2 linked regions of the Oryzias latipes genome follow. The protein of the gene in region 2 purifies or fractionates together with the protein of the main gene of each other region. This does not show direct contact. Links are inferred from orthologs where the notes say so. Each region holds a gene or a part of one and is shown on either strand. Other genes may lie near its edges. The genes, in order: ppp2cb and ppp2r5d.

Region 1 (4,508 bases), on a different chromosome or scaffold from region 2:
GTAAACATCCTTGCTGTCATATAAATCTACGCAGCAGGTCGGTCCAAAGCTTCTATGGAGCAAAACACCATCTATGTATGACGTCAAACCAGAGCAGTAGTGACACACGATCGGAATGAACTGTTTACATGAACAACGATCGAATCCACAATCGGCATAACCCACCTATCTCGATCGGAAAGAAATTTTGATCCGAACAAGTCAGAGTATTACGAACGGCGTGTTTACATGACGCATTTTTCTTCCGATCAGGCGTTCTTTCCGATTACTTTTGTCCATGTAAATTCAGCTAGTGAATCCCTGTGATGTCATCCAGGTGTCAGTGAATCCCTGTGATGTCATCCAGGTGTCAGTGAATCCCTGTGATGTCATCCAGGTGTCAGTGAACCCCTGTGATGTCATCCAGGTGTCAGTGAACCCCTGTGATGTCATCCAGGTGTCAGTGAACCCCTGTGATGTCATCCAGGTGTCAGTGAACCCCTGTGATGTCATCCAGGTTTGTCAGTTTGTTTGGCACAGAGCAGACGGACAGCAGCGGTTTGTCAATAGGACATTTTATTTCACATGTCTGTTGTCTTCATTGAAATTACAGTAATATAGTAGAGATGACTGCTGGCTGCAGCCTTAACAGCTGAAACTCAGAGCTGTTCTACTGAAGCAAACTCTCCTACGTTTCCTTTAAACTGATCTGGCAACAGAAAGAAAGCACAGATGGATGAAGGTGGAGACGGGCGGGGATATAGTGAGCTCTAAAAAACAAAAACAGTTGTTGGAAAAGGATCAAAATATGGCACATTTGGTCCACGTCGGTACTTTTTTATTCTCCTGTTTTCAAACATGTCAGATGGAGAAGATGAAGGTTAACATGCGGCTGAAGCTCAGCTTTAGTGACATCACCGCTCTGTTGAATCTGCTCAATGCATCTTCTCCATTCAAAATGAGAGGGGTGGGGCAGGGGCGGGGCTTGGTGAATGACTTATGGGGGACAATAGGACATTCACAGGAAGTAGTCAGGAGTGCGTCTAGTCACATGAGGCTCGCCGCGGCGGGGGGCGGGGTCAAACTGCAGGCTGTAGAGAGAGGATGAAAGTAAAGGTGCGATTCAGAGACACGTTGGATGAAATGATGATTGGACTCTCTAGGAATGTTCCATCCAGAGACACCCGGGGGGGTGGGACTTACAAAGAGTACTTCAGGGTGTCGTCCAGTTCCATGATGGCTGCCTGGTTGCCGCAGCGATAGCAGTAGTTGGGGGCGCTGAAGATGGTCACCACGTTCTTGTCGTGACCCCAGTTGTAGCCCTGCAGACAGAGGGGTGGGGGTGCATGATCACAAACGGCCCATCCATCCTAACAGCCGGGGGTGTGTGTGTGTGTATGAGGAGTCTCACCTCCATGACCAGCTGATGGGCGCGGGACACCAGAGTTAGGCCGTTGGCGTGGTTGAAGGTTTCAGAAATGTCCTGTCCAAAAGTGTAGCCAGCACCTCTGGGAGAGATGCCCCACCCACCGCGGTCATCCGGGTCAGACCACAGCAGGTCGCACATGGGGCCCTGGGGGGTGGGGGGAGTCAGATTAACACCAACCTGTGCAGCTCTTACCTTCTGCTCTGCAGCAGAGGAGGACGCTGCTGTCGGGGCTGTCCCGCTCCGACCACGTGATCGCAAACCGGAGTTGATCGATCGGTTGCAGACTGGATTGAAATCAGACGTGTCTCCCGATCGGACATAACCCTAACCCGATTATACCATCATTTCAAGCTTATTATTCCAGATAAATACTCTACTAGAAGTCTGCATTTCATCAACGAATCACCACAATTTTTCACAGCTTCGAGTTCCGGGTCAATGACTCTTAATAAAATGTTTTCAACTGACGGCAAGTGTCACGTAAACAACGACCTACGAAAGGATTTTAAGAGAAAAACCATCAGGATTGAAAACGGCGCTGAGATTTTTTCCTGTTCCGATTAAAAATGTTCAACAATTCTGAGGATACTAAAGCTTCAGTCCCCAAACTTTCTGCCATGATTATCAGCAGTTTTGACTAGTTTATAGTTAACTATTCGTACTAGATAGCTGCAGGATTTACTTAATCGTAGAAGTGTTGAATGATAAAAGGAGGAGAATAAAAGAAAAAATGGATCTGTTCATTAATTTGTTTTTTTTTTTGTTTTTTTTTAAAGTACTTCACAAAAGTTTTGGATCAGGACTCTGTATCGGCACAAACTCCAAATCAAAGGATTGGAATGACGTAAGGCCCAAAACACTTGAGCGGGACGTCCAGTGAGGAGCGTGTACCTCATGCGGGACCTCCTGCAGGCGGTCCAGAGCTCGTATGTGGTCCAGAGTGTCTATGGAGGGAGACAGGCCGCCGTGGAGACAGAAAATCTGAAAGGACAGCAAAGGACAGTGTCTGTAGAGCTCCTGCTTCCATGGCCTGACGGTCTGGGTGTAGCGGCTCTCACCTGCCCGTCCACCAGCGCAGTGAGCGGCAGGTAGTCAAACAGGTCTGTGAAGTACTTCCAGACGTTGGCGTTGCCGTATTTCCGCAGACACTCGTCATAGAATCCGTAGACCTGTGTGATCTGACGGGACTCGTGGTTCCCTCGCAGTATAGTGATCCTCTCTGGGAATCGAACCTGCGCATGAAACCTCACATGAACACTGCCAGCTGCCAGCAGGTTCCACAGCATCACACATCGCACACCTCCGGAGAAACCGAGGAAAGACCTCTGCGATCTGGTTAACGAGACTAAAGTCCTCCAACGACAACCACAAAGCTGCACGCAGAGGCGGGACCTCTGACTCCGCCTTTACAGCAAACTTTGAGGAGGTGGGCGGAGTTACAGCCACTGAAAAGACCGACTTCAAGATTAATTTCCTTATTCAGGAGAAGTGTCTGCGGTCCAAAACGGACAACCATTAAGATTAAAAACAGGTAACCTTTAAGAACATTTCTTCTTAAAACAGCCGCCAACTCGCAGAGAAAACACAAACACACAGACACACACGGACACATAGAAACACGGAAACCTTGAAACGAACACAGAAACACAAACACACACGGAAACATAGAAACACACAGAAAGGAACACACAACACTGCCGCTGCCGCTCTGCCACACAAACACACCTCTTCCAACTGCAGGTACGGCCTCCCATATTACCATTTGGCAGAAACCTGACAGTTGTGCAGGTGTGACCACAGAAGACTGCTGACAACAATCAGATGCAGTCCCACCTCCTCAGGCGCTCCCACTCTCAGCAGGAAGGTCTGCTAACGAGGGTTACCTTTAACGTGACGAGCAGCGTGACCGTCTCCACAGAGTAGTAGCCCCTGTCCACGTAGTCTCCCATGAACAGGTAGTTGGTGTCTGGAGACTTCCCTCCGATCTTAAAGAGCTCCATCAGGTCATGGAACTGACCGTGAACGTCGCCGCACACGGTCACCGGGCATCGCACCTGAGGAGACCGTCATCATCAAGTCATGTTGCATTTATCCGTCATGTATTAAAATCCGCTACGTGAAAACAAAGTCTGACTAAACCGTGATCACATGTAGATGACACACGGAACAGCTCGTTAGCATAGCATGGTAGCATTTAGCATCATTGCAGGGTAGCATGTAGCATGGTAGCATTTAGCATCATAGCATGGTAGCATTTAGCATGGTAGCATTTATTATCATAGCACGGTAGCATTTAGTGTCATAGCACGGTAACATTTAGCGTCATAGCATGGTAGCATTTAGCATGGTAGCATTTAGTATCATAGCATGGTAGCATTTAGCATCATAGCATGGTAGCATTTAGTATCATAACATGGTAGCATTTAGTATCATAGCATGGTAGCATTTAGCATCATAGCATGGTAGCATTTAGTATCATAGCATGGTAGCATATAGCATGGTAGCATTTAGTATCATAGCATGGTAGCATTTAGTATCATAGCATGGTAGCATTTAGTATCATAGCATGGTAGCATTTAGTATCATAGCATGGTAGCATTTAGTATCATAGCATGGTAGCATTTAGTATCATAGCATGGTAGCATTTAGCATCATACCATGGTAGCATTTAGTATCATAGCATGGTAGCATTTAGCATTATAGCATGGTAGCATTTAGCATTATAGCATGGTAGCATTTAGTATCATAGCATGGTAGCATTTAGTATCATAGCATGGTAGCATATAGCATGGTAGCATTTAGTATCATAGCATGGTAGCATCAGTGTGTAACGACCCGCTGTCTCCAAATCCACCCTTTTTATCAACGTTCTGTTGCTGCTGTGAATCCAGCAGTTTTGTCCTCCAGGTCGTCCTGGATTCTGGTACAAATCCTCACATGTTCTGCTGCTTCATCTCTTTCAACTGAAGCTACACGGAGGAAACTAGCAGAAGTCATGTGACAGGAGCACGTCTGGCGGTGCGTGTTAGTGTTTTTTTCTGAGCAGGGTTAGTAGCTCCTCTTTGCTCGCTGCTGCTTTCACATCTGCGCTTCGCGAGAG
Region 2 (3,820 bases):
ACACGGGCACAAAACACACACACATGGAAATACAGACATGCATGCTACCTCACACCAAACATGGACTGACCTCCTCCTGTGGGTGAAGTCCACAACGGAGTGGGCGGAGCTTCTGACTCTAGAAAAGAATTTAAAAAAAATACAGATGACACGAACCCACAGGACTGTAGCCCAATCTCAAAAACACCTGTGACAGTCTGGATCATTTAAATGCATCCAACTTGTGACTTAAGACTTTATTTCTGACCTTTGGTCCAGAACAAAGTTGATAGTGAATACCTGAGGGTTCTGTTGGGCCAATACTTCAATTTTCTGCCAGATCTCATCACGCTCCTTCAGCTTGTACTTCTCTCTGTGGAGAACACACATAAACATCTGAACACAGGAACATTCGTGTCCACACAAACAAAAGAACCGATTAAACGGATCATCTGCTCATGCTGGGACCAACCAGACTTAGAACTTTGCATTATGAGGAACCATAGCTTTTGCTGGAGTGGCTATGTGTATGGCTGCGCGTGTTTGAGGGTCAAAGCAAAGTGTTAGGGTCAAATTATGACAAATTTATGGAGGTAGTTGTGTTCTTGGTAATATGATCTGTGAATTTGTTCCTGCTGAGTCCAGCAGGGGTCAGTGTGGCGCACCTCTGTTTCTCAGCTTTGTACTGCTGTGTGCAGTCATCAAACAGCTTCTGGTTCATCTCCATGAAGAGCTTCAGGGCGTTGTAGATCAGCCCATGGATGGTTCTGAAAAAGAAGGGAAATGCTTCACAAGTTCATGCATCAAATCCTCAGAACTTAATGAGAGCCTCCAAACAGAGACCTAGCCTGTAAGTGCTCCTGGTTTCAAACATAATTTTCAGCCTTTAACTCTAAATTTAGATGTAAAAACAAACATGTAGGGCCCCGTTTAGATGAAGGGGGCACACCGATGCAGTTGGGGAGGGCTGAACACACAGACGTTACAGAAAAATGAGGTGGAAGCTTGCTTTTAATGATCGTGTTTGAGAGTGAAGACGCTCCAATGGAGCCAAAGGTTACACTCCCCAGCGCTGAAGAAAAACAGAACACAACCGTTGGCTATGACGCACACACATCAGTGCACGTGAGGAGGGTTTGTTCTCACTGCCATCAAGCCCTCGCTGATGGAAACAGCAGATCCAACTGATCAATCTCAAGGTCACATTAGGACAGTGACCATTCAGCCCCCCCCTGCATGAAATGTTGATAGAATTGCTGCCCCCATGGGCAACTTCTGTCCTCGTGTCTCATTGCACTTCTTCTGTAGCTTTGTTCATTGAGGCTTTATAAACCTAAATGACATTTATGCAGACATACTTCTAGAATAAATCTATGCTTTAAACAGGAGATACTGTCTGTGTGTGTGTGTGTGTGTGTGTGCACGCGTGTGTGCACGTGTATTACTTGTTCCAGTGGCTCTTTGAGTTCTTGTAGAGGGCGGGGAACATGATGGGGAGGATCTTGGCAGCATTGTCACTAATCAGGCTCATGATGTACTCATTGTTCCAGTAGTACAGGGCTCTCTCTGCCACCTGCACAAAAACAACAACAAGCACAAAAACATACACAACATTATTAAAATCCTCCATGGGCATCAAGAACCAGCAGGAATTCGAACACATTCCTGAGCTGCAGCTCACAGTCAGCAGTGAAATGTCATGTTTGTGCAAACACTTGCCTTAACGTTCCTTCCACTTATGTTGCTGCTGCCGCAGACAAAAAGAATTTCCCCATCGTGGGATTAATAAAGCCCATCTAATCTAATCTAATGTTTGCATGAAACTTATATTTTGTAACTGAATAAACCTGTGTGTGTTTGTCAAAATGTATGCATTTGCACAAACCCATGCTTAACTTGATGAGCCACTGCAATGGAAATCGTGTTTTTAACACGTTCTTGTAGCATTTTTCCGATGGAGGACATTTATAAAGAAAATAGCTGTTTGAAAAAGAGCATATGTGTGATAGAAAACACACTGGGCGGGTCATAAGCTGCCTGCTCTGAGCTCTCAGCATCGGGGAGGGGAAGAGGGGGTGGGGTTGCTCTGCGCCATTGGTTCCTCCCACAATTTAAGCAAATTTCCAATGACCTACTGTCGCTCTGCAGAAACTATGTCCTAAAAAGCGATACAGATTTTTTGATTTTGGCTGAAAACAACATAACTATAATTGAAAGAATATGGGGAACTCTTTAATAATAAATCAAAGGATGATCAGAGCGGGTCTTTAAACCTTTCTGCATACATGTTTGTTAGACTGCAAACACGTGGTTCACTGGTCCGCCCCACAATTTTAACTTCCACTTTAGACACCACACACAGAGGGACCCAGGGGTGGGGGGCTCTGCTGCTTGGCAGCGGTAGGGCCCGCCACACTGGAGACCTCCTATTTTACCTGCAACACACACACAGTACACCCGCACCACCATACATAGATGGGATCAGGGAGGGGGGGTGTCGATCGGCCTGAGGGTGGTTACTGCGTGGCGACGGGGGGTGGGGGGCAACCAGAAGATTGTGTGTGTGTGTGCGTGCGAGAGTGCATGGGTGGGGACAGACCTTGGGGCTGGCTCGCTGTGACACGCAGGGGCTTACCCTCCCCATTGTAGAGGGGGGAGGGCATTAGGGGTGATATGGGAGGAGGTGTCGAGGAACATGGCAGGTGAGGGGGTCATAGAGCGTTGAGTAGTGGGGGGTGGTGCTGTGGTTGCGCGGGTAATCACTGCCACACTGCTCCCTGTCTGCTTCATCCCTCCTCCTAACCCACAGTGTATTGATGGACAGATGTCTTCCGCTCATCTTAGTTTTAGAATTTCACCTTCGGATGTAATATTTGTCTTTTCAGCAGATCTGGTATAATTGTTACACAGCTTAAAATAATAACTTATTCAAATCGGCGCTTGTATTCCCCACTCTCTCCCTCTCTCTCCCTTTTATTCTCTTCAACCCCCCCCCCCCCCCCCACACACACACACACACACTTTTCCCCTCTCCCTCCCCGCACACACTAAATGTAACAAATAAATAAAGAATAATAAAAATTTTAAAAAAGGGGGTTTATATACATTTACATTCTGATTATCTGAAGATATATAACCTCTTTTTGTGACAGTAAAACCTGTCCAACACGAAAAGCCTTCAGCGCTCATCTGTTTGCTCAGTTGTTGGACAGAACAAGTTAAAAAATAACAAAAAGACTGGAGGCATGTGATGGAAAAAGCGGTCTTGGTTGAGATACCTGGAAGTGTGGGCTGGAAACACACTTGGCGAGCTGTCTGAAGAGTGGCTCCTGGACTTTCACAAACTCCGAGGGTTCAATGACGTCCAGAATCTCTTCGAGCTCGTTCAAGAACATCACCTCCTTTGGACTGTGGGTTTTGGGCCAGAACTTTAGCAGACCCATTATCACCTGTTGAGGGCAAAGACAAGGTTCTGTTTAGAGAGCTTCACCAGAGCTCCTGCATTCAGGAACCAACAGCAACCCAAACTGTGTTGAGTACTTACAGGCTCCGTCAGACTGCTGTCCTTCTCCAAGAACTGGACCACACAGTATGCCAGCTGCAGACACACAAGTAGGGGGTGATCAGCAGCAAACACACATTCAGGAACCAGCACACATGCACACACCAGGGGTTCCTACGTGTTCCTCTAAGTTCAATTTAAGACTTTTTTTAAAAAAAAAACCCTTTTTAAAATCTTGCTATGAAAAACTAAGACCAATTTCTCTATAGAGAAAACCTTGAATTTCAGAACAATTACTTGTCAGTAAGACAGTGACGTGATATACAGAATAATTTATTT

Evidence for each region.
Region 1: the proteins of ppp2r5d (region 2) and ppp2cb purify together in Homo sapiens (affinity purification with mass spectrometry; 8 studies listed by BioGRID and IntAct, counting the BioPlex papers as one, with this or other methods). This does not show direct contact. The link is inferred for Oryzias latipes from reciprocal best matches to the Homo sapiens genes PPP2R5D and PPP2CB.

The regions. Positions count from the first base shown.
Region 1 is NC_019867.2:193,523-198,030, reverse strand, and holds the end of ppp2cb (serine/threonine-protein phosphatase 2A catalytic subunit beta isoform), read right to left. Parts: intron 3,463-4,508; coding exon 3,292-3,462; intron 2,641-3,291; coding exon 2,467-2,640; intron 2,390-2,466; coding exon 2,300-2,389; intron 1,553-2,299; coding exon 1,391-1,552; intron 1,302-1,390; coding exon 1,183-1,301; intron 1,071-1,182; coding exon 998-1,070; 3' UTR 538-997; downstream 1-537.
Region 2 is NC_019873.2:12,875,603-12,879,422, reverse strand, and holds part of ppp2r5d (serine/threonine-protein phosphatase 2A 56 kDa regulatory subunit delta isoform), read right to left. Parts: intron 3,578-3,820; coding exon 3,524-3,577; intron 3,429-3,523; coding exon 3,258-3,428; intron 1,553-3,257; coding exon 1,425-1,552; intron 747-1,424; coding exon 645-746; intron 353-644; coding exon 280-352; intron 119-279; coding exon 71-118; intron 1-70. UniProt on the Homo sapiens protein: The B regulatory subunit might modulate substrate selectivity and catalytic activity, and might also direct the localization of the catalytic enzyme to a particular subcellular compartment.